Saccharomyces cerevisiae S288C: one gene and its partners. The gene in region 2 interacts genetically with the main gene of each other region. Each region holds a gene or a part of one and is shown on either strand. Other genes may lie near its edges.

The links.
Region 1: mutations in AFG1 (region 2) and ADI1 together harm fitness more than expected from each alone (negative genetic interaction), as found in Saccharomyces cerevisiae (one large-scale study listed by BioGRID).
Region 3: mutations in AFG1 (region 2) and PPA2 together harm fitness more than expected from each alone (negative genetic interaction), as found in Saccharomyces cerevisiae (one large-scale study listed by BioGRID).
Region 4: of AFG1 (region 2) and COX11, extra expression of one rescues a mutant of the other (dosage rescue), as found in Saccharomyces cerevisiae (one study listed by BioGRID).

The regions. Positions count from the first base shown.
Region 1 is NC_001145.3:280,071-285,141, forward strand, and holds ADI1 (acireductone dioxygenase (Ni2+-requiring)), read left to right. Parts: upstream 1-4,031; coding exon 4,032-4,571; downstream 4,572-5,071. Other genes in the region: YMR007W (uncharacterized protein), read left to right, coding at 1-270; PLB1 (lysophospholipase), read right to left, coding at 520-2,514; YMR008C-A (uncharacterized protein), read right to left, coding at 3,011-3,478; ANY1 (Any1p), read left to right, coding at 5,030-5,071. UniProt on the Saccharomyces cerevisiae protein: Catalyzes 2 different reactions between oxygen and the acireductone 1,2-dihydroxy-3-keto-5-methylthiopentene (DHK-MTPene) depending upon the metal bound in the active site.
Region 2 is NC_001137.3:52,565-58,738, reverse strand, and holds AFG1 (Afg1p), read right to left. Parts: upstream 2,169-6,174; coding exon 639-2,168; downstream 1-638. Other genes in the region: VMA8 (H(+)-transporting V1 sector ATPase subunit D), read right to left, coding at 1-361; MAK10 (Mak10p), read left to right, coding at 2,637-4,838; 60S ribosomal protein uL11 RPL12A, read left to right, coding at 5,521-6,018.
Region 3 is NC_001145.3:799,428-804,704, reverse strand, and holds PPA2 (inorganic diphosphatase PPA2), read right to left. Parts: upstream 2,934-5,277; coding exon 2,001-2,933; downstream 1-2,000. Other genes in the region: TMA23 (Tma23p), read right to left, coding at 1-249; U6 snRNP complex subunit PRP24, read left to right, coding at 483-1,817; RSN1 (Rsn1p), read right to left, coding at 3,326-5,277. UniProt on the Saccharomyces cerevisiae protein: Involved in energy production. Its activity is stimulated by uncouplers of ATP synthesis.
Region 4 is NC_001148.4:298,779-304,332, reverse strand, and holds COX11 (Cox11p), read right to left. Parts: upstream 2,618-5,554; coding exon 1,715-2,617; downstream 1-1,714. Other genes in the region: 60S ribosomal protein uL18 RPL5, read right to left, coding at 319-1,212; gluconeogenesis transcription factor RDS2, read left to right, coding at 3,105-4,445; ODC1 (mitochondrial 2-oxodicarboxylate carrier), read left to right, coding at 4,830-5,554. UniProt on the Saccharomyces cerevisiae protein: Exerts its effect at some terminal stage of cytochrome c oxidase synthesis, probably by being involved in the insertion of the copper B into subunit I.

The DNA of each region.
Region 1 (5,071 bases), on a different chromosome or scaffold from region 2:
GGCCAGACCGGCTGCATTGGGTGCGACGGTAAATTCTCTATAGGCATCACCATTGAAAAGTATGTCCTTAATTTAGTCGTGAGAATCATCATTGTGTTCGCCCTTTGTCGTATAACCGAATTGAGTGTCTTTGATTCATCTCTAAGGTGTAAAAGCAGAAAAACCAGATTATCTAAAGCTGCAAGAAAGAAAGAAACTGATCATTTTCATGAACAGTGCAGATATGTGGAAGTGAAATTTGGCCTGCAGATGGCATATCTGCAATCCTAGCTTTTTCCTTCTGCACTTTAAACCTATCTATATATCTTCGATGAAAGTACTGCATGAACATATCTGTATAGATAGATATATGTAGGGAAGACACCCGGTATGTAAATGTTAATGCTCGTAAGATTTCGAGTTTGTAAAAATAAGATGCGGTATGCACTTGAGATCTCGTAAACTATTTGTATGTTGATATTTTTGCGCTTTTCTCACTCTCGTATTCTTTTAGAAAAGAAATAGAAACGAAGAAAGAGCCTAAATTAGACCGAAGACGGCACTAATGACACTTAAGACACCAATAAAAGTGTTAGTGTTTAAGTTAGAATAATTCACCAAAGCATTGCCCGCATTTTTCTTATGAGTGGAAGACCCAGAAGCAGAGGCAGAGGCGGAAGCAGAGGCAGAGGCAGAGGCAGAGGCAGCAGCGGCGGAGGCAGACAAGGAAGCAGAAGAAGAATAATCATCATTTCCTACACCTGAGACTGACCTGCTGTCAATAGTACCGTTCCAGCAGTAGTTGGTAAAACACTGGCTGCATTCAGAGGGCAATGTAGCATTCAAGTTTTGTTGCTTACGTCTGATAATGGCGCAACCAACACAGCCCAAGAAATCAGAATCATCAGTAAAATTACCCATTGTGGCAGCTTCAAACCCATTCTTAATCATACCAAGACGTTCTGAATCGGAGTATGACATCTTAAAAGTACTTTGGTTACCATTAAATGAATGTCTTGAATTTGGAATGTAAACAATTAATGGTGGAATGTACTCCAAGTCTGTCAAATTTCTTGCATCACAACCAAAAAAGGTTGGCTTTTTGTTCAACCCCAAGTTGACAAATGTGTTCACATCTGGAACATATGGGAAAGACAAATTGAGACCTTGGCTGCCAAATTGACGCTGATAAGTGTTAACTAATGAAGCACCATCTGGCCAATAGTCGTCAGTATCAGCAGAATTGTCTAATGCAAAAATAACATCTAGTTCACGTTCCTTTTGCAACAATGGAACTAAAGGAATATTTTGGTTATCTTCACCACCATCAACCAAAAATAGATATTCTGATTCGATAATACTGGAGGTTGCGTTCTTTTGAAGAAAATTAGCTTCCTTGAATGGATTTGGGGCGTAAATTGCAATATCGTCACTATTGTCGGATAAATCTTCCAGGAAATCGGTGGCTAAGTTAGCAATAAATGAAGGTAAATCGGTAGAATTCAATCTTAGTAAAAATTGGTTAAACAACGTAGATGAAGTGGCTGTTATGAAACCAGTGTTATCAAACCCGGCAATGCATTGGCCTTTATTAACTGGTTTACCGTTTGTAACGTTGGTACCTAAATACTTCACATCCGTAAATGCGTTCAAAGTGGGGTCCCATGAACCCATTTCAAAGGGATTAAATTCGAAAAGAGTGGCATTCAAGTTTATCACGGTGGTACCTGGGTATCTACCGTCTGCAACAGTGATAGGGAAGGGCATTTCTCCATTCTTGAAGACATCAGCTTCCCTTAAAGTTGACCATGTGTACCCTACACCACCACGGTGTAAGCTTGGCCAAAAATTGTACGCAAGAGCACGGCCCCAAACATCCGCCAAAGAGATGTTGAAACCGGCGTCTTTTTTATCCTGAACGTCATCTGATATGTCGTCCCATCTACTCCCAGTCTTAAAGATGTTAATGCCGTCTGGGGTAAGAATTGAATGAGAGATGTCCCAAATTGAGTTAGATTCTGTTGTATTATCCACGATAGCTTGCACAGACGTCCAGTTGTTCCAAGCCAAAGTACTTGTTAACCAGTTACCACCCGACAGACCTGCCAAGTAAGTTGCACCTTGCAGCAGCCCACCAAGACCATGCTCATTTGCGCCATCAGTACGATTGTCCATAGCAGCAAGCATACCAGCACCAGACAACATGGCACGGTAACCACCACCAGAACAGGCGACGGCAATCTTAGGCATATTGGAAGAGTTGCTACCAAAAAGAGTGGATAGCAAGGAAGTGTCACTGAAATTCGAAGTGGCCCTATTCAAAAAAGAATGCAAAGCCTCCTTGGTGTATGCATCTCTTTTTTTCAGCCATTCTGTTTCGTTATCTGACAAACCAGATGCTTCTCTGACTAAGTTAATATCATCATCACAGGTTACGTTCGCAGGGACGTAACTGTTATTTGGTGACCAAGCGTTAACGTTCTCTGTTAGAGAAGTCAAAACTGCAGCAGAAACCAACAAACTCTGCAACTTCATGGTTTTGTTTTATTTTCTTTCCCGTTTGCCCTTAGGATGGATAGCTTCGTGTAATTTACGTTATATGAACGAAAAAAGAGAGAAATGTTAAGAAAAGAACGAAGAATTGATTAGTTAGTATAACCTAATAAATGTAGAACCTTACAGCGAAGAGACGTTTCCGTTGGTTAAATGTGGTGGAAGCGTCTTTATATATTAGATGATGTAGTTTACCTAAGCAGTTAGAAGAAAATAAAGTAACCAAGTCATCTTCTAAGCAAAAATAGGAGACGTAAATGAATGTTGCTTAACTGAGAAAAATATGCGGGAATAAGCGGACATGTTACTGTATGAGGTTATTTCCCTTTATAGATAAGGGCGTAAACCGCATATAATGAGGAAAGGCGAAGTTAGAAACGGACTTTTTAGGTCGCTTTGAAGAAGTCCGTGCAGGAAACCCATGCGTCCACTTATTTTAGCACTATGTGGCATGAGAAAGCTTTGGAAGGAATAAACGTTAGGACCCCACTGCGCCGCTTTTACGCAGGGCAATTTCGGGGACAAAGGGGGCTGAAGGAATACAATTCCGATCCAAGGCAACAAGTAGGTCAGAACCCTTTATTAACCTGCGCTTGTTAGTGGCTTCCTTTGTACTCTGTCCGTAATCCAGCATAGCGCTGAATTGCTGAAAGATATGGGTAGCGGTCAGATGAGAAGGGCAATCGTCAGGACTTCTGTTGAAAAGCGGACTAAACATAGGCATTATCATTCTTAGAGTTTTACGAGCAAATAGAATCGAGTGACTTCCGTCGTTGCTAACAGGCGCAGTAATAATAACCGCGGACGAAAGCCACGCAGGCAAAGAATGCTTTCGCTGAAATATCGGAGTCTTGCTATTGTTCAGGGCTTTGCCGGTGCGTAAATAATAGGCTGAAGCGAATTTGATTTCCCGCACAAAAAATTTTTGCTCGAGTAAGTCATACATATATCTTGCATGCGTAAAAAAAATTGCAATTGCTGAAGATTGAACGACCGCCCACCGGTATTTTCATCTCTTCTAGATCAAGACTAACTGCTCGTTCAGTACAAGTATTTTACGATAGTCCATATTACTCTTCAATTAATATTTTTTTTTTATATTCTGGCCCGTTTTTGACACAATTTTTTCCTTCTCTTTTTCTCCCTATAAACTATGCAGAAGTAGCGATAATCACGATCTTGTTAATGATTCACATGTGCGCAAGTCGTATTGTCTGTCTAGATAGTGAGATGCCTTCTAAATAACAGGAGAGAGGCAAGATAGCATAACGGCGCAATGAAGGTAATTTCTGCCAGTTTTCTTTGCATTGACGACTGAAAGGGCCCTTGTAAGAGCCGCTCGACAGGGCGACGCCACAGTAGAGTCGCTAACACCGAAATATGCATATTGAAAAACATCAAAGTATAAAAGAACAAAGAGGGTGGCATCTGCAGATCAAAAAAAACAATAACCACCAAACAAGACACTAAAAAAGGTCGTAAAAAGGTCAAAAGTTAGAATGGTTAAGGTATATATTCATGACAACAAGGTTGACTCCGATTATCGCGCACCCCACAATTCTGGAACAGAACTTTCCCTGGATGAATTAGCCAAGTTAGGAGTGATTTATAAATACTGTGCAAATGAGGAAGAAGTGAATGAAATTGCTAGGCAAAGAGAATATAAAAATAGAGATGTGGTCAACATCTGCGAAGGTTCCTTCAAAAGTGAAGCAGAGTTTAATGAAAAACTAGCAACATTCTACCAAGAGCATTTACATGAAGACGAAGAAATAAGATACTGTCTCGAGGGTGCTGGATACTTTGACGTCAGGGATGCTTCCACACCAGAGAACTGGATTAGGTGTTTGGTAGAGTCAGGTGATTTACTGATTCTTCCACCAGGCATCTATCATCGTTTCACCTTGACAACTAGCAACCACATCAAGGCCTTGAGACTGTTTAAGGACGAGCCCAAATGGCAAGCTATCAACAGGTCAAATCAGGCTGATTCATTGCCTGTACGCAAGGACTACATTGCCCTGATCAATCAGTACTAAATACTGCATCATAATACATTATTCTTAATGTCTTACTTCTTTATATCTTTAAAGTAGCGTAGGGTGACTTCCCCGTCAAGAATGATTTTTAGTCTGTGAAATAGGAAAAGAAAAAAACACCAAAAGTGGAAAAAGAAACACCGGAAGTTTGAACGATTTTCGTATTATTTTTATATTTAGATGTTGGTCAAGTATTCATCTTTTCCTCCATTTATTTGCATACTTCTTCCATGGAGAATAGTGAAAAGTATAGGCCATAGTCGTAATATCAAAAAGCAAAGCCTTATCACTATTTATAAACATCAACAATCCTGAAAGCCAAAAACGATACGACATTTGATATTTTGATTTGGTTTCAGCGCCCTATTTTTTTTATAAAAACTATACGCATACTGTTGCATTCCTTTCTTTATAAAATTCAATAAAAAATTAATACTTTCCACAGATAAAGCTAGAGAATGTCAACAACAGGTCCGTTAGATGCTACTTTAATAAGGGAC
Region 2 (6,174 bases):
TGAAATCATTAATTTCAGGGTCGATGTAGGACTCAAATTGAGACAAATACACACCACTAACGTTTTCTTGACGTGCTCTCACTTTGAATCTTGCAGTAGAGACACTTTCTTGCACTTGATAGCCAATGTTTTCACCTGTTGCATAGGAAACTTCGGCCAAGGAAAAGGCAGCAGTTTGCATAACTCTCCCCATCTTTTGCTTAGCATCATCAATTCTTTTGGTAATATCTCTGAATCTCTTTGTTAGGGCTTCAGACTTACGCTTTAGTAAAGAATAACCTTGGTTGGCACCTTTTAACTTGGTCTTCATCAAACCCAGCGTCATACGCGTAGGAAAGACTTGCTCTCTATTACCAGACATTTTTGAACCTTTTTCACAATGCTGTTAGGAACCTATGTACTACAGATGCTGATTTATTCTACTGCTGCTTCATCTAACCTTTATCTGTACTGCCATTGTCTTTTAACAATCCCCGTTCCTAATCAAATTTGCATTCGGGTAACAAAAAATCAGGTGAGTAATATCAGTAATAAAAAGCACTATTGTTAAAGGTGTAACTGCGGCAATTGTTAGACGATCAAAGTTCGTGTTTAGAATAAATACAAGAATATAAATAAACACTTTTGTTACATAGGGTTTAGTATGTAGGCTTAGTAACCCAATCGGTGGAGCTCATCTGTGACAGCCTGCTTAAGGCACGGGCAAAGGCAAATCTTTCTTCATCAAGAGCAAACATCTGCGATTTCTTGGCAATCTCTTTCGAAAAACCGTGTTTCTCAACCATCTCATCTACCATACCAGTATCGACGCTATCAGGTTCTTTGGTTGTTGGGCGTAACTCAAAATCATTAAGTATCTGTTCAGGTTCCACAAACAAGGAAGAAAAATCCGCTGCACCCGTAGTGGCCAGTTTCCCGCCACTGTCATATACAGCATCTAAAAATGTAATAAATCTTCTCACTTCATCACGAACGTAAATGGACAAATATGGAATATCGGTCACTATAAAGGCTTCAAAATTTTTTGCCAACGTCAAGTAATCTCCTGCGGCCAAAGGCTCACCACACAACTGCTTGAAAGTAAACTGCGCGACTCGAGGTGGGGTACACTTAGGGACTTTGAACTCTCTCCCCCAAATAGTTAATGGATAATCATAAAATGTCTTATGCACCGTGTGTGAATCAGTGGAATCATCGGTGTGGGAAGCCTGTGCGAAATAGTTATACCATTCCTTAATATGAGTTTCTCGACGGGTTTTACATTCCTTTGATGCGTATTTTATGCTCGTATCGGATGGGAAATAGTAAACTGAGGACACAGGTCTTGGAATCTTACGGTAATCTGTTGGCGAATTCAAGAAGATAACCTTAGTTCTATGCTTTATCAGTTCAATACAAGGAATAAATGATTGTCTTTGAACACCGTTGATATACAACTCATCTGGATGTCTATTCGAGGTTGCGAAAAGTACGACACCATAATCATCGGATAGTAAGGCAGTCATCAGCCTTCTCAATATCATTGCATCTGCCACGTCAGTGACTTGAAACTCGTCAAAACAAAGAACATGCGAATTATTTGCAATCTCTGCGGCCAAAAATGGAACCGTATCGATCTCTTTTCCTTTTGCATCACCTAGTTCTTTCAAATTTTGCTCTCTAACAATTTCATGCGACCTTTTGTGAACATATTGCATAAACTGGTGAAAATGTATTCTCTTTTTTGTTAAATGATTGGGAATTGTAGTATAAAAAAGGTCCATCAACATTGTCTTTCCGCAGCCAACATCTCCATATAGGTAAACTCCTCGAGGTATCGAGTTACCAATTTTGGATACATCCACATACGCCCCAATGTTCTTAGGTTTGCCACGGCTAAATACGGATTTAAGACCATTCAACCAACCGCCAACTTGGTCGACAGCATTGGGTGTCTTGACAACCGGAGGTACATATTTAACCAGTGAATCATACAAATCCCCTAAGGAAGAGATGATACCACGCTGATATGTATCATCCCGTAGCTTCCCCAACTTCACCAGTCTGTCGTACTCTTGCAAGGGCGTCAGACACTTATTTGACTTCGTAGATTGATACCGACAAATGCGAAAGCTGCAATGCTGCACTTGTCGGAAGGTTCGAACAGCATTGGGCTTCAAAGCGATCATGATTTTAACCAGCAAATACTATGTTTCACTGCTTTACCTATTTATTCTTTGTTCTTTCGGAGCACCCGCAAATCAGAAGAAAGGAACTTCTCCCTCCCACTTTAAAGTAAATCCGGAGATTCCCGTTATTACCTTACATATCGAAATATGACCCATAAAAGATGTGTAAAATTACGTAAGACAAAGGAACTCGGCACACCTATTGAATAGGTAATAGTGGAATCAGGTGCCTAAATAAATGAATAAGAGTACTGTATTATCTAGTAGTTGTTATATTATCTAACCTTTACATAATACGATTATTTCACATTGTTATGTTTTCGGGTAATAATTATGAGATGGAGTGAAATTTCACGAAGAGATACAAGTAAAATAGCAGCTCTTCAATAGCAAGAAGAGTGGCGCTGAGATTGAAAACAACTGTGCTAGTGTAGAGCAACTTTGATAATAGCTGGTACGTTTCCGAGAATGGAAGTAGACAGTATATTAGGTTCCTTGAGCATAACTGATGATTTTGACCAATTGGTTGACGTCACAAGTCTGTTTGATGAATTGTGTTCAAAACTAAAACCAGAGGCTATCGTGAAAGATCCCAGGTTTGATTTGTTCGAGGGTACACATTCTTTAGAGGTCAACAACTCCAAATTAGACTCCAGTCTGATAGAATTGACAGCAGAAGAAATAGAATTTGATGTGAACGTGGCCTACGATCCACCGTTGGCAAGTGTAGCAGCCATAGCGGATAGATTACTTAGATGTGTTATCTCCTGGCTGAATGACTACCAGACTTTACCCACTACTGTATTAAGCTGCAGGTATACAGAAAGCTTATTATCGTCATTAGTTAAGGGAACAACTGCCGGTTCGTCCTGGTGTACAGGGAATATTTTGTATGATAAAGTACTAGGAAGTTGCATACTTGGCGTTTGTTATTTAACAAAATTTGTGCAGAAACTCTTGAGTGCTGGTATTGTTTTTGAAGAGGAGGATTTAAATTTTAATAACATGGGGTTTAATACATTCGATAATTTGCCGGGGCAAGATGTTGTTATCAATTCTCTCACCGAGAGCCTTCAGATATTAGAGGCATATTCTGATGATAGCTTACATTTAACTATGCTGAAGCATATACTAAAAATTATCATTTGCTTAGTCCACTTAGAAGACCATCTGACAGACTATTCCACAAAGACAAGCCACCTGGATGAGCTAATTGAAAACGCTAACTCGGTTAATGGCATATTTCCACAATTACAGCTGTCTCCACCAAAGGGTGCGTTCTCAACATATATACAAAAGCACAGGTCTAATCAATTCCCTCCCAGGAAGATTACGAAGTTACCGACGGATTACAGCGGCTTTATTACACTGGCAAATGATGTTAAAACAATACTCCTTGTAGATAAAGCCGAGTCTGCGTTGGAGACCTACCAGTTTGCCAAATTCTTCAACAAGTTGGAACAAAGGCATGTCATTGCAAGGATCTTATTCCCCTTATTTTTCATTAGAGACGACAGAACAGTTTTGGGTAAATTTTCATATACCCAATTTTATTTGCTACATGTCAAGGAGTTTTCAGCACAAACTCCATCTGAATTTGAATCCTCTATTGGTAATGAACTTATCCAAGAAAGCTCTAATATGCTTTTAGAATGGTACCAAAACTGCTCCCAAAACACATGTAGATATAGACAAGGTTTTAACAGGCAACTTATTCTATGGGATTCTCTTCAAGCCCAGTTTGAAAGTGTCAATTCACAAGTTTACTGTTCGTGGACATATTTTATGAAACTATCAAGTATGATCGAATTCTCTTTAAAGGGGTTTGATTTGGATATTTACAAACCCTTTGAAGCATACTCTATGTTTTGGTATGTTTATTATTTAAGTCACCACTTAGAAACCTTTTTGAAAGATAGTCAAAATGATATTGAATCAAATATTAATGCCATTCATTCCATGAACAAAAAACTTAAAAAATTGAAAGCTGGTGAAAAGAAGGACCAATTGAGGCTAAAGTACAGGTTTGCTATGGATAATGAAATGGAACAATTACAAGCTACCAAACAATTTTTAAACTATCTTTTGAAGGAAATTAACATTACCAAATCTTTATGTCTAATAGAGGTTTTCCAATTTGCAATTTTAAAGTCATTTGGTTTAATTGACAACAAGAATAGTACTCCGTCAAAATTCTCTAATGAACGGTTAATCCATAATTTGAGATTCAAGCCATTTAATTCAATTGGTGTTCCTGAGTTACCAGAATATGAAGTATTTCAACAAACTTTAAAAGATTTTGTCATTGAAGAAAAAGGAGCTGCATTTGATATAAAGTTAGAAAGGGCCACTAACTTTATCGAAACTGAAGTGCGCAATGTCGTTAGTTCTATTGATGAGATAATGCAAGGAATCAAGGGAGGCGATAATAACGGCGTTCTAGTAACAGGAACAAGACTGGTTCAAGAGCTCTCTCTGGAGTACTATTGTAAACTAAAACATACTTCTAAAGCATTATCAGTCAACTCAAAAGTTATCGTCAACACTTTGAAAAAGAACATTAAAAACAAGGACTCCCACGAATACAAGGTTGAATTAGTTCATACAACAGAAGGATGGAACTATTTCCCCATACAAACATTGAGAATAAAGCAAGACCGCTATAAATAATCTGGAATTTACCCTAACTGTACAAAATATATTTAGCATTATATACCCGCTATTTAATTATTATAAAGGAGACCTTTATACTCAAACAAATGAAGCCACCTTATGCCATTATCCCATTCGTACCAGTCTAAAACAAGATAAATACCCTGTTTAACATCCGAACACCAAATATGTGTGGGTGTCAAACAAAGAGACAATGTAATGAGACAATGTACTGCTTGTAAACTATAACAGTATCAGCTCAATTTCAATGCCATCTACTCCAGATATCGTTGCGATTGTACCTACAAGCCGCCTACAACGGCGTTATTGTTGTAAGCTGGTAAAATGCAGTGCGTTCCCCCGTTGTGAGTTCGGGCCAAACTTACTTGGCTGGGAGTTCCGTCCGTACAGTTGTGGCTTGCTGCCTAGACTTAGGCGGACGCGGCGGCAATTACTCCTGGGCTCTCCCTAGAGCTGGAGAGACACTCTTGGTAACCGAAGGGAAAATCCCGGAAGAAAATTTGGAATCCGTTAACACTGCTGGAAATGGACATCTCCTAATACTGAAAAAATTATTCAAAGTCTAGAATTTTGGTAAATTTCAAGGCTTCTTTGAGTTACAGTTCGTTACTATTACACCTTAAAGGAACTTTCTTTTGGGGTCTAGAAAGTCGACAACAAGAACAAAGGATATACAAAAATGCCTCCAAAGTTTGATCCTAATGAAGTTAAATACTTGTACCTAAGAGCCGTTGGTGGTGAAGTCGGTGCCTCCGCTGCTTTGGCTCCAAAGATTGGTCCTTTAGGTCTATCGCCAAAGAAGGTTGGTGAAGATATTGCTAAGGCCACCAAAGAATTCAAGGGTATCAAGGTTACCGTCCAATTAAAGATCCAAAACAGACAAGCTGCTGCCTCTGTTGTCCCATCTGCTTCCTCTTTGGTCATTACTGCTTTGAAGGAACCACCAAGAGACAGAAAGAAGGACAAAAACGTCAAGCACAGTGGTAACATTCAATTGGATGAAATTATTGAAATTGCCAGACAAATGAGAGACAAATCCTTCGGTAGAACTTTGGCTTCCGTTACTAAGGAAATCTTAGGTACTGCTCAATCTGTCGGCTGTCGTGTTGACTTCAAGAATCCCCATGATATCATTGAAGGCATTAATGCTGGTGAAATCGAAATCCCAGAAAATTAGAAAAAAATTAAAGAAAGTTTCAAAGCTTTTTAGTTTTTTTATTGTTTTTGTATTTTAATATGATAATTGCACAAAATTCCAATACGTTTATTTTCTAATTTTTGATTTCGATTCTAGGGTTATACTTTTTCTATCTGTTTTGTCTCTTCTCTTCCT
Region 3 (5,277 bases), on a different chromosome or scaffold from region 2:
AGTAGCAACTGCCTCATTTTGAGTAAATTTAATACTGCCATTATTCGAATCAGTGCTTACATCCAGGTTCTTCAGATGTCCATCAAATAGCCTTTCCCACCATGCTTCGCCATCATTCCCGCCAGGAGCATTACCCAATCCCTTCTTATCTCTCTTGTGCTTTACCAGTATGGGTCTTTTCAAACCACCTTCTCTAAACGCTTCTCCTTCTTTCCAACCATATGATATCAGATATTCTTTGCTATCCATGTCCGATTTATTCTGATAATATTTCCGCTTGTATCATTCAATTTTCTATGTACATCATGACAATGAATTGTAGAGTGCATCAATGTCTTTTTTAAAGTCATCGCTAAAAAATTTTCAGGCGGGAACTTATTCAAAATGGCAGATTTACTACAACATTGAAAACCCTTTATATTTATTATATGAGAATCATTAGCGATAAACAAGCCCACATATTCACTTCATAATCTGTGATAATGGAGTATGGACATCACGCTAGACCAGATTCAAAACGACCATTGGATGAAGGATCACCAGCAGCCGCAGGATTAACTTCTAAGAAGGCGAACGAAGCTTTAACAAGAAATAGAGAATTAACAACTGTATTAGTCAAAAATTTGCCTAAGAGCTATAATCAAAACAAAGTCTATAAGTACTTCAAACATTGTGGGCCCATTATACACGTTGATGTTGCGGATTCGCTGAAGAAGAACTTTCGTTTTGCACGTATTGAATTTGCCAGGTATGATGGAGCCCTCGCTGCAATAACCAAAACACACAAAGTTGTAGGTCAGAATGAAATTATAGTATCTCATTTAACAGAATGCACATTATGGATGACGAATTTCCCCCCAAGTTATACTCAAAGAAATATTAGAGATCTATTGCAAGATATTAACGTTGTTGCACTCAGTATACGGCTTCCCAGTTTACGATTCAATACAAGCAGAAGGTTCGCTTACATCGATGTTACTTCTAAAGAGGATGCAAGATATTGTGTAGAAAAATTGAATGGACTCAAAATAGAAGGTTATACTTTAGTTACTAAAGTTTCCAATCCGCTGGAAAAGTCGAAACGGACCGATTCTGCCACACTAGAGGGGCGAGAGATTATGATACGAAACCTAAGTACAGAATTGCTCGACGAAAACCTTCTGAGGGAATCTTTTGAGGGATTTGGTTCCATTGAAAAAATCAACATACCTGCTGGACAGAAAGAGCACAGTTTCAATAACTGTTGTGCATTTATGGTTTTTGAAAATAAAGATTCTGCTGAAAGGGCACTTCAAATGAATAGAAGTTTGTTAGGTAATAGGGAAATTTCCGTTTCCTTGGCTGATAAAAAACCATTCTTAGAAAGAAACGAAGTCAAAAGACTTCTCGCATCGCGTAACAGCAAAGAACTAGAAACACTAATATGCTTATTTCCACTTTCAGATAAGGTGTCACCAAGCTTAATCTGCCAATTTCTTCAGGAAGAAATACACATCAATGAAAAAGATATTAGGAAAATACTTCTCGTTAGCGACTTCAATGGCGCCATTATTATATTTAGAGATAGTAAGTTTGCAGCAAAAATGCTAATGATACTAAATGGATCTCAATTTCAGGGAAAGGTGATACGTTCAGGTACTATTAATGACATGAAAAGATATTATAACAATCAACAGAATCACAGCATGAAACACGTCAAACCTAGTTGTATAAACATGATGGAAAAAGGACCAAATCTTCAAGTAAAGAAAAAAATTCCTGACAAACAAGAGCAGATGTCCAACGACGATTTTCGCAAGATGTTTCTAGGTGAGTAGACTAACCGAACCGGAGAAAGACGAACTTCTAATAGGATGTCATTTTAGCAGTGAATATAAACCCAAGTTTCTTTCCAAACGTTCACATACATCAAGCAGCCAACATTCGAGAGAGCAGAGATTACGTAATTATATACAAGGAACCTTTATCTAAACATTTTCTTCGAAGGTATTATTTTCATATTAAACGTAATACCATTTTTGCACCTCAGGCGGTATTTGAGAAGGGGGTTTAACACTATCTTCAAGTGTGACACCATTACCAGCCCTTTCTGTATTAGGCAGGTTGTCATACTTCTCCTGGAGTGATCCTGAAATGAGGTTTTTCCACGAATTGTGACATTTCTTTATAGTTTGGATGGTTTTATTGGAATTTTGATACTGTTCATGAAAGGCGAAACTATTTAATGGCTTCCCTGCTGGAACTTTATACTTTCTAAACCACTCCCTAGTCGTATCTAGAATCCCAGGAAAGTACTCCTCAATTTTTTCCAAGTCATCTATTTTAGAGGATAAAGGATCATTTACGTCGATCACTATGACCTTCCAATCCAATTCTCCATCATCAATTAAAGCGAGTGATCCTAATACCTTGACCTTTTTAATGGAACCCATTTCCAAAACATCCGAACCGATTTCGCAACAATCAAGAGGATCATTGTCACCTTTCAAAGCCACGTCACACTTCCCCAGTTTATGTTCAATTGTGGGATCTTCCCATGTTTGGGGAATAGCACCATAGTTGTGTATATAGCCGTGATAGGGAAAGATATTGTTCACGAACCTAAGCTTGCCATTCTTCGTATCTTGAACGATCGGATTGAACCTAAGTTCTTTGGATATTTCAAATTTTCCAGTTGTCCATCTTGGTACTTCAACAATCATATTTACGGTCTTTTCATGTTCATTCAAATCTAAAGGGACATCATGGAAAAAAGAACCAACCTCTCCATTTAATAATGTCAAGTATTTCTTAAACCCGAGGGTATATTTGCTGCCTTGTTGAATGGTGCTGAATTGTCTATGATTACGAATGGATAAAATATTCAATGTTTGTTTTAACCGTTCTATTGACCTAGCCTTGCTTGTTAAAGCATTCATTCGTAATAAATTCATGTTTTTCAGTAACTTCTCTAGAAGGGAATTTGCTTTTCACGCATACAAGCGAATCAAAGTTTCCAATTGAATGTACTCCCTATTAGTGCTGGTTAAATTAGCTGACTGCTCCGTATTACTGTGCGGAGTTCCTTTTATCCAATATTCAAACCTCATAGATTGCCAAAAACAAAAAAACTTTGCATAAAAAAAAACAAAAAGGGTTACTATACACGATGAATGATTAGACTATACACTATTATATAAGAAATGATTAGAATCATATTTTAAATGTATTAAAAGAATATATGCACGTCCTTTTCCTCTCCTTTTCTTAGTAAAATTACAATTCAACCATCAGAGGATAACAGCTAAACAAATAGGAATAGATAATTTCTGATAATGTTTAACCTTTAGACTGCCGAACGACTCTCTTCTTCCTTATACTTTGGGTCCGCAAATGGATTATTTTCCTTACTAGCTGTGTCAAATTCGCCATTTGCTTCACCATTTGCTTCGTCTTTAACATCATTATATGGTGGTGGTACGTCACGCAGAGTAAATTTCAAATTCTCATCGATGGTAGCATTTTCATCGTTCATTTCAACAACGCCAGAAACGTCTGAAATCAACAATTTGGAAAATCCAAAAGGATCGCGAGGAATCCACAATTCGGGGCATTGTGCACTAACAGCTGGATAATCGTAAGCATGAGAGATATCGAAATCATTGACTCTTTCATCAGGATCAACCAAACCATATATTTCTGGCAGTCTGCTCTTTACAGCCTTATAGGAGTAGTAAATGTGAGGTTTTAAGAATCTCTTCCACCATGGAGCCGGAGGAATTTTCATTGTATCACCATCTGCTAATAATGGCACGTCCTCAATTAAATTTTCTGCATTTATAGCGTGCCCATCTGCATTGGCTTCATTTGCTGGGTTGAATTGATATTCGAATGTATTTTCACTAAATATGCTATTTTCAACTTGTTGCTCAGTGACTGATTCACTCCTCTTGTGATATTTCTTTATTGGAAATTCAGGTAATTCTTTGATTCCGTCCATGTCAATATTTGCACCAAAAGTATTTTTCTTCACCTTTGTACTTTCTATGCCTTTATAAATATTTTTGAAAGAAGGTGTATCTGATACACCATCTAACGGTTTCATGGTATCAACGGGTATAACCTTTGATAAATGATCAAATGCAGCGCTCAAATGTAAATGAATAAGGACGGTAACACAAATTCCAATTACCTGTAAAACGATTGGGCCCCAACCTTTACCAACGGCAAAAAGACCTAATAGACATATCTGACCGATGTAGATACCAACTATAGTTTGGAAAAGAGCTCTTGGATAATAAATACCCCTTGCGTCGGGTGATTCCTGATAGACATAAGTCAAATTGTATAAATATGCAATATACAATAGGAAAAACGCGACGGCAGCAAATAATAAAATCAACGGAGAAATGATGGAGTAGGAGAAAGTAATAACTGCCAAGTTTGTATAAACTGGAAAAGCTGTCCCCCACTGCATACTGGATAGCCCACAAAAACGATTCCATTTCTTCCTAACGGTACCATCTAAAAAGGCACCTAAAACATAAAAGAGTATTAGTGGAACAATTTGCAAAAGAGCACCTGATGAAATGGACAGACCTTGTAGAATAACGTATGACATGAAAAAATTAGAAGCTTTTGGCAGATTAGAAGCCAGTAGATCCATAGCCTTCGTGGGCTCTTTAACAATTTCCGTTACTGTGGAAGTGGCGGCGGAGGATAGAGTGGTAACTAAAAAGACTTGGATAACTTGAAAGGCGAAATAAGCTTGTTGAGTGAAATATTCCACATTTTGCTTAGATGGAGCACCTTGAGTGATAGCCATACCCCTAATAAATTTCGGCAAGAAACTCATTAAAACGGCCAATGCCACAGTTGGGGCCAGAGATGTCAGTAAACCTAATAGTTGTTTTGGTAATTTATAGATGAACTTTAACCATTTAACTTCATTAGTCAAGGAAGTAATATTAGAGATCATACCAACAAAAGCCACTGGGAAAGCCCATAATATTACTAGCGCGACAATTGCTGAAACCGCACTGACTTCCCTACCTAATCTTTCCCACCAGAACATCCTCAAATTAAACCAAACGACATCGGATGGCTCAATACCAATATACACAGGCGTCATGAAAAGAGGAGCATGGTATGTGGTGATCTGAGCGGCAACTTGGGCCTGATATTGGGATTCAAACTCCACAAAAACGGAGTTGAAAGGGGATGAATTTTCATGATCTTCTTGTAATGCCTTCACCTTTTGGTTTAACTTGGGCAACTCCTCCTTAATGTAGGATATGG
Region 4 (5,554 bases), on a different chromosome or scaffold from region 2:
AGTTAGAATGCCATTCTAGAGAAGAAATCTTCATATGTTCGTTACATAAAGAGAATAAAATTACCTAAAATTGGATGATAACTTTTATAAAATCAACTACTTTTTGTGGCATTTTTTTCTTTTCTCTTTTCATCATGATTTGAGTGTACTATTACTGCAGTGCAAAAAAAGGGTAGTAATGAGGCGGTACGCAAATCGTAAAAAAAATACAAATGTAGTAAGTGGATGATGTAAATGAGTTAACTAAAAATGAATACAAAGGTTATGTGAAGATAGCTTTATTTAAAATATCTCAAAATGACGTTATATATCCATAATTTATTGTTGACCAGCCAAAGCAGCGATCTTGGCAGCAACACGAGCAGCTCTTTCTTCCTTGGACAATTTGGTTTGTCTGTACTTCTTGGATTCAGCAGCGTATTGTTCCTTGGTGAATTTCTTTTCAGTTGGCTTGAAAGCTGGGTCAGCTCTGATAGCTTCGTGAGCAGAAGTGTAGATGTCTTCCAAAGAGTCAGCATCAATGTCGTCAGCTAGGTAACCCTTGAATAATTCAGAGAATCTTTCTTCATCATCGTCAGCTAATTCTTCCATGTATTGGGAAACGTGGCCACCAAAGATGTAAGATCTCAATAATTCTGGGTCAATTTCTTCGGTTTCGAAGTCCCAACCTGGGAATCTGTTTTCGGAGTGAGGAACGTACAAACCACCGTCAGAAGCACCCTTTAGAGCACCGAAAACTCTGGCACCAGTGGTGGTTCTTTGCAAACCAATATCCAAGAAGACCTTGAATGGACGTGGACCATCTTCAACAGCTTCGGTCAATTCGTATTCACCTTCAACTTCTTCAACACCCTTGTAAGTTTCGTCCAAACCCAACTTTTGCAAGGTTCTTCTGGCGATCAACAAACCAGTAGCGTAAGCAGCAGCCCAGTTGGTCAAACCGTGGGTAATACCGTATCTTGGCAATTCGTGGGAGTAGGCAGCAGCTAAGACGACATCACCAGTGATGGTAGAAGAGATGATTTGACAGATGATATCCTTGTTAGTGAATCTAACAACCAATCTGTACTTTGGAGTGTTGTACTTGGCCTTGTGTTGGGTGACCAATCTCTTTCTTTGGTAGTAATCAGTCTTACCTTCTCTTCTTCTTCTGAAAGGAGTTTGGAAACGAGAGGAGTAAGCAGAGGACTTAGCGTCTTTTTGGAAAGCCATTGTTGCTGAGATTTGTGACGGTGTCTTTTATTTTGAAGTGTAGGAGAAAACAAAAGTAAAGGTTGGCCTCTGAAATATACTACATCGGATATGTCTACAAACTTTTCTATTTATTTTTTTTTTTTTCAAAGCATCTGGCGACTACTGGGATCTGCGACGCTAAGTGAAGCCTCTGAAATTTTCGGATGTGAGCGATTCCGCATTGAAAGCCACCAGAAAAAAAAAAAAGAAAAAAAAGAGAATATTTCAATAATTTTTTTTGCTTTATGGGTGTTTTAGGATGTCTGGATGTACAAGTTAGCTGTCTAGAAAAGCTGTATCACATGAACAAGAATCTTCATTTCTTCATTTCTATGACGGCTAGAAAACAAAGATTTGATGATTACAAGAAGTTCGGTGCCGTGATTATATGCTTAAAACATCTCAATATGAAGTCATGGTGTTTTACTTAATTCAAAAGCATAACAGTATTTATGTACATTGAATGACTTTGTATTTACAATTAATTTGAGTTGTCTTTCCTTGTGTCTATAACTTCTGGGGATAAAATAGCAGCATTAGCCAATGACGCTGCTTTTTCATCTGCATTCATCTCAGGCTCCTTTTTAGAGTCACTTACAGCTGTACCATCACCATAATGAGCTCTGAAGAATGTGTAATGTAAAATAATATCATCGATATTTCGCATCGCTGGATCGCTAGCAAAATCTGGATCGATAAAAAAGAAGACAGGCATATCTATTTCTTCACCGGCAGCTAGCTTTTGTTCTTCAAAGCAAAAACATTGGATTTTATTAAAGTATTGAGCTGCTTCACCAGGCGCTATGCTATAAGTAGCCATACCAATAATATCTTTATCGCTGTAATTCTTGGCTTTATAAAAAGCGAGGGCTGTTTCACCAGGCAGAACGTAAACCTCACGTTGTTGAGGAACGAATTTCCACGGTAAAATTTGTGATACTTCACTGGTGAATGAGATACGAATTCTCTTCTCAGTATCTACAGGAATGAGTTTATCGTCGGTAAATTTTCTTCTATCTGTTATGGGAATCCCACCAAAACCAGTACGAGCACAAATGGCTCTATAGAGTGGTACCGCTGCATATGCCAAACCCAAGAAAAGTACCGCGACGCTGCTGAAATAAAATGCAACCGTACGATCTTTAAATTTTCTCTCCCTTGCTCTTTTCAACTCTCGCAATTGCTGGATTTCATTTCTAGTAAGTTTTGAAATATCAAATGTATGTTTTGGTTGTTCGCTGTTCACTGAATAACTTCTCAATGCAACGTTTTTGCATATGGCCCGCCTTAGAGCTAGCGCATGAGGTGCCAACCATGAGTCGGATCTAAGAAAAGTTCCTAACAGTGGAACCTTAGATCTAACAATGGGACATATTCTTATCATGACAATATTAGGGAATTTTGGCTGCAATATTATTTGTTTGTGCGCTGAAGTGCTATTTCACCTGCGACAGGAATATTATTACTTTAAAGAAGATACTTAAGCGTTCGCTGCCCCTTTAGACTCTTCACTGTTCTTTGATTTGTATTGGTTAGTATCTATGTCCTTAAAAGATATATCATGTTTCATCCGTCAAAGGGCATTGGTTAGGGAAAGGGTTTTCCAATGGTTACGCTGTTTTTCCTACAGATCCGCTCCTTAGATGGGGAGAATAATGTTTTGGAATGGCAGAAAACAAGAAAAAGCAAAACAAAGAGTACGAAGGAAAATGAAAAATAGTTGAATATTAGAAAAAAGGATGAGGTCTCTGGGATGGAAGAAGAAAGTAATTCTTATGAGAAAATTTGCGGGAGTTCTTTGCCAGTGAGATAAAGTTTTTTTTAATTTTAATCAACACAAAATACACATATTTATATAAACTGACGAAATAATGTCAGCAAACAGTGGTGTAAAACGAGCCAGTAAGGCTTTTAAAACATGTTTATTTTGTAAACGGTCACATGTTGTATGTGATAAGCAACGTCCATGTTCTAGGTGCGTCAAGAGGGATATTGCCCATTTATGCAGGGAAGATGATATTGCGGTTCCAAATGAGATGCCATCACAGCACGAAAGTTCTCCGAATGATAATAATATACAGGGCAAATATGCAAATAAAGCACACACTGGAATTCCGTCTGACTATCAGAATGAACCAGTCAATAAAAGTGGATCCACATATGGAGAGGAACTGTCACCGAAACTAGACTCCTCTCTTGTAAATGATACAACCAGCTTGCTGCTTCCGCAACAACCTGTATTTGTGTCCGAGAATGTTGGTTCGGAATTCAGTTCTTTGAATGAATTTCTTTCTATGCTAGAAAATCCTCTATTGACTCAAACATCACTAAGTTCCAGCAGTGCGAGCAATGTTCATTTGGAAAATGGCTCACAAACCACACAATCGCCATTAGAGTACCAAAACGACAATCGTAGGGATGAAATAGGAGTGGCAAGACAAGAAAATAGGTCGCCTACTATTATGTCAGGTTCTTCCAATAGTATCTCGAAAGGGGATAAACAAGATCAAGAAAAGGAAGAGTCTCGAATTCTAGCGAATGCAAACGAAAACAGTGCACCGACACCGAAGGAACAATTCTTTTTAACAGCGGCGGATCCGTCAACAGAGATGACACCAGAACACCGGCTGAAGTTGGTCATAAATGCGAAGCTTGAAGCAGGATTATTGAAGCCGTATAATTATGCCAAGGGGTATGCAAGACTACAAGACTACATGGACAAATATATGAATCAGTCTTCCAAGCAAAGGATTCTGAAACCACTATCCACCATTAGACCGGCGTTTAGAACCATTGCGCGTTCATTGAAGGATGTTGACTTAGTTTTAGTGGAGGAGAGCTTCGAGAGGATGTTATTATCTTATGATCGTGTTTTCACCTCTATGAGCATGCCAGCGTGCTTGTGTAGGCGTACCGGTGAGATTTACAGAGCCAATAAAGAGTTTGCTTCACTGGTTGACTGCACAGTCGATGATTTACGCGATGGAAAGCTTGCGATCTACGAGTTGATGACAGAAGAAAGCGCTGTGAATTTCTGGGAAAAATACGGGTCCATAGCGTTTGATAAGGGTCAGAAGGCTGTTTTAACAAGTTGTAGTCTTCGAACCAAAGATGGAATCCGCAAACGGCCATGCTGTTTTAGTTTCACTATCAGAAGGGATAGGTACAACATCCCAATTTGCATCGTCGGGAATTTCATCCCTTTGTCATAAGCATAAGTAATACATAGTAGGTAATTGGTATTTCCAGCGTCATTAAAAAGCAAAGTAACGGGTTTACTTTTTCCTCAAGCCGCTGGCCCGAGCAGTTACTTGAAATAGCCGTATTACTACGAGCAATACGAAGACCTTTTTCTACCAGCATTTGTTTTTTTTCAAATCATTCCCATTATTACCCCAGGATCTTTTCATAATGCGGCGACCAGAGATAGGGAAAAAAACTGCGAACTGGCTGAATCTGATTTGGCGAAGGGCAGATTCTCGGGTATTTCTGTGAGGGTGACCGCCGTTGATATATATCAGTGACTTTTGGGAACCTTTATCTCATTTATTCTCAAGATAGAACTGTAACGAGGGTGAAAGAAAAAGAACTGTAAGATGACATCTATAGATAATAGACCTTTGCCGTTCATATACCAGTTCACAGCCGGTGCCATTGCCGGCGTCTCGGAGCTATTGGTGATGTATCCATTGGACGTGGTGAAGACAAGAATGCAATTACAAGTGACAACCAAAGGTCATCCCGCTGTTGTTGCAGCGAAAGCAGCAGTAGATCACTACACGGGCGTGATGGATTGTCTTACAAAAATTGTGAAGAAGGAAGGATTTTCGCATCTTTACAAGGGTATCACATCGCCTATATTAATGGAGGCTCCGAAAAGAGCAATTAAGTTCTCCGGAAACGATACATTCCAAACGTTTTATAAAAAGATTTTCCCCACGCCCAATGGGGAGATGACTCAAAAAATCGCCATATACAGTGGTGCGTCCGCTGGCGCCGTGGAAGCCTTTGTCGTCGCGCCTTTTGAACTAGTGAAGATTAGATTACAGGATGTGAATTCACAGTTCAAGACACCCATTGAAGTTGTAAAGAATAGTGTTGTGAAAGGTGGTGTTTTGTCACTTTTCAATGGGTTGGAAGCCACTATCTGGAGACACGTTCTTTGGAATGCCGGTTATTTCGGTATAATATTCCAAATTCGGAAGCTTTTGCCGGCGGCTAAAACAAGCACGGAAAAGACCAGAAATGATTTGATCGCAGGTGCTATTGGTGGCACTGTCGGGTGCTTGTTGAATACACCATTTGACGTGGTAAAATCTAG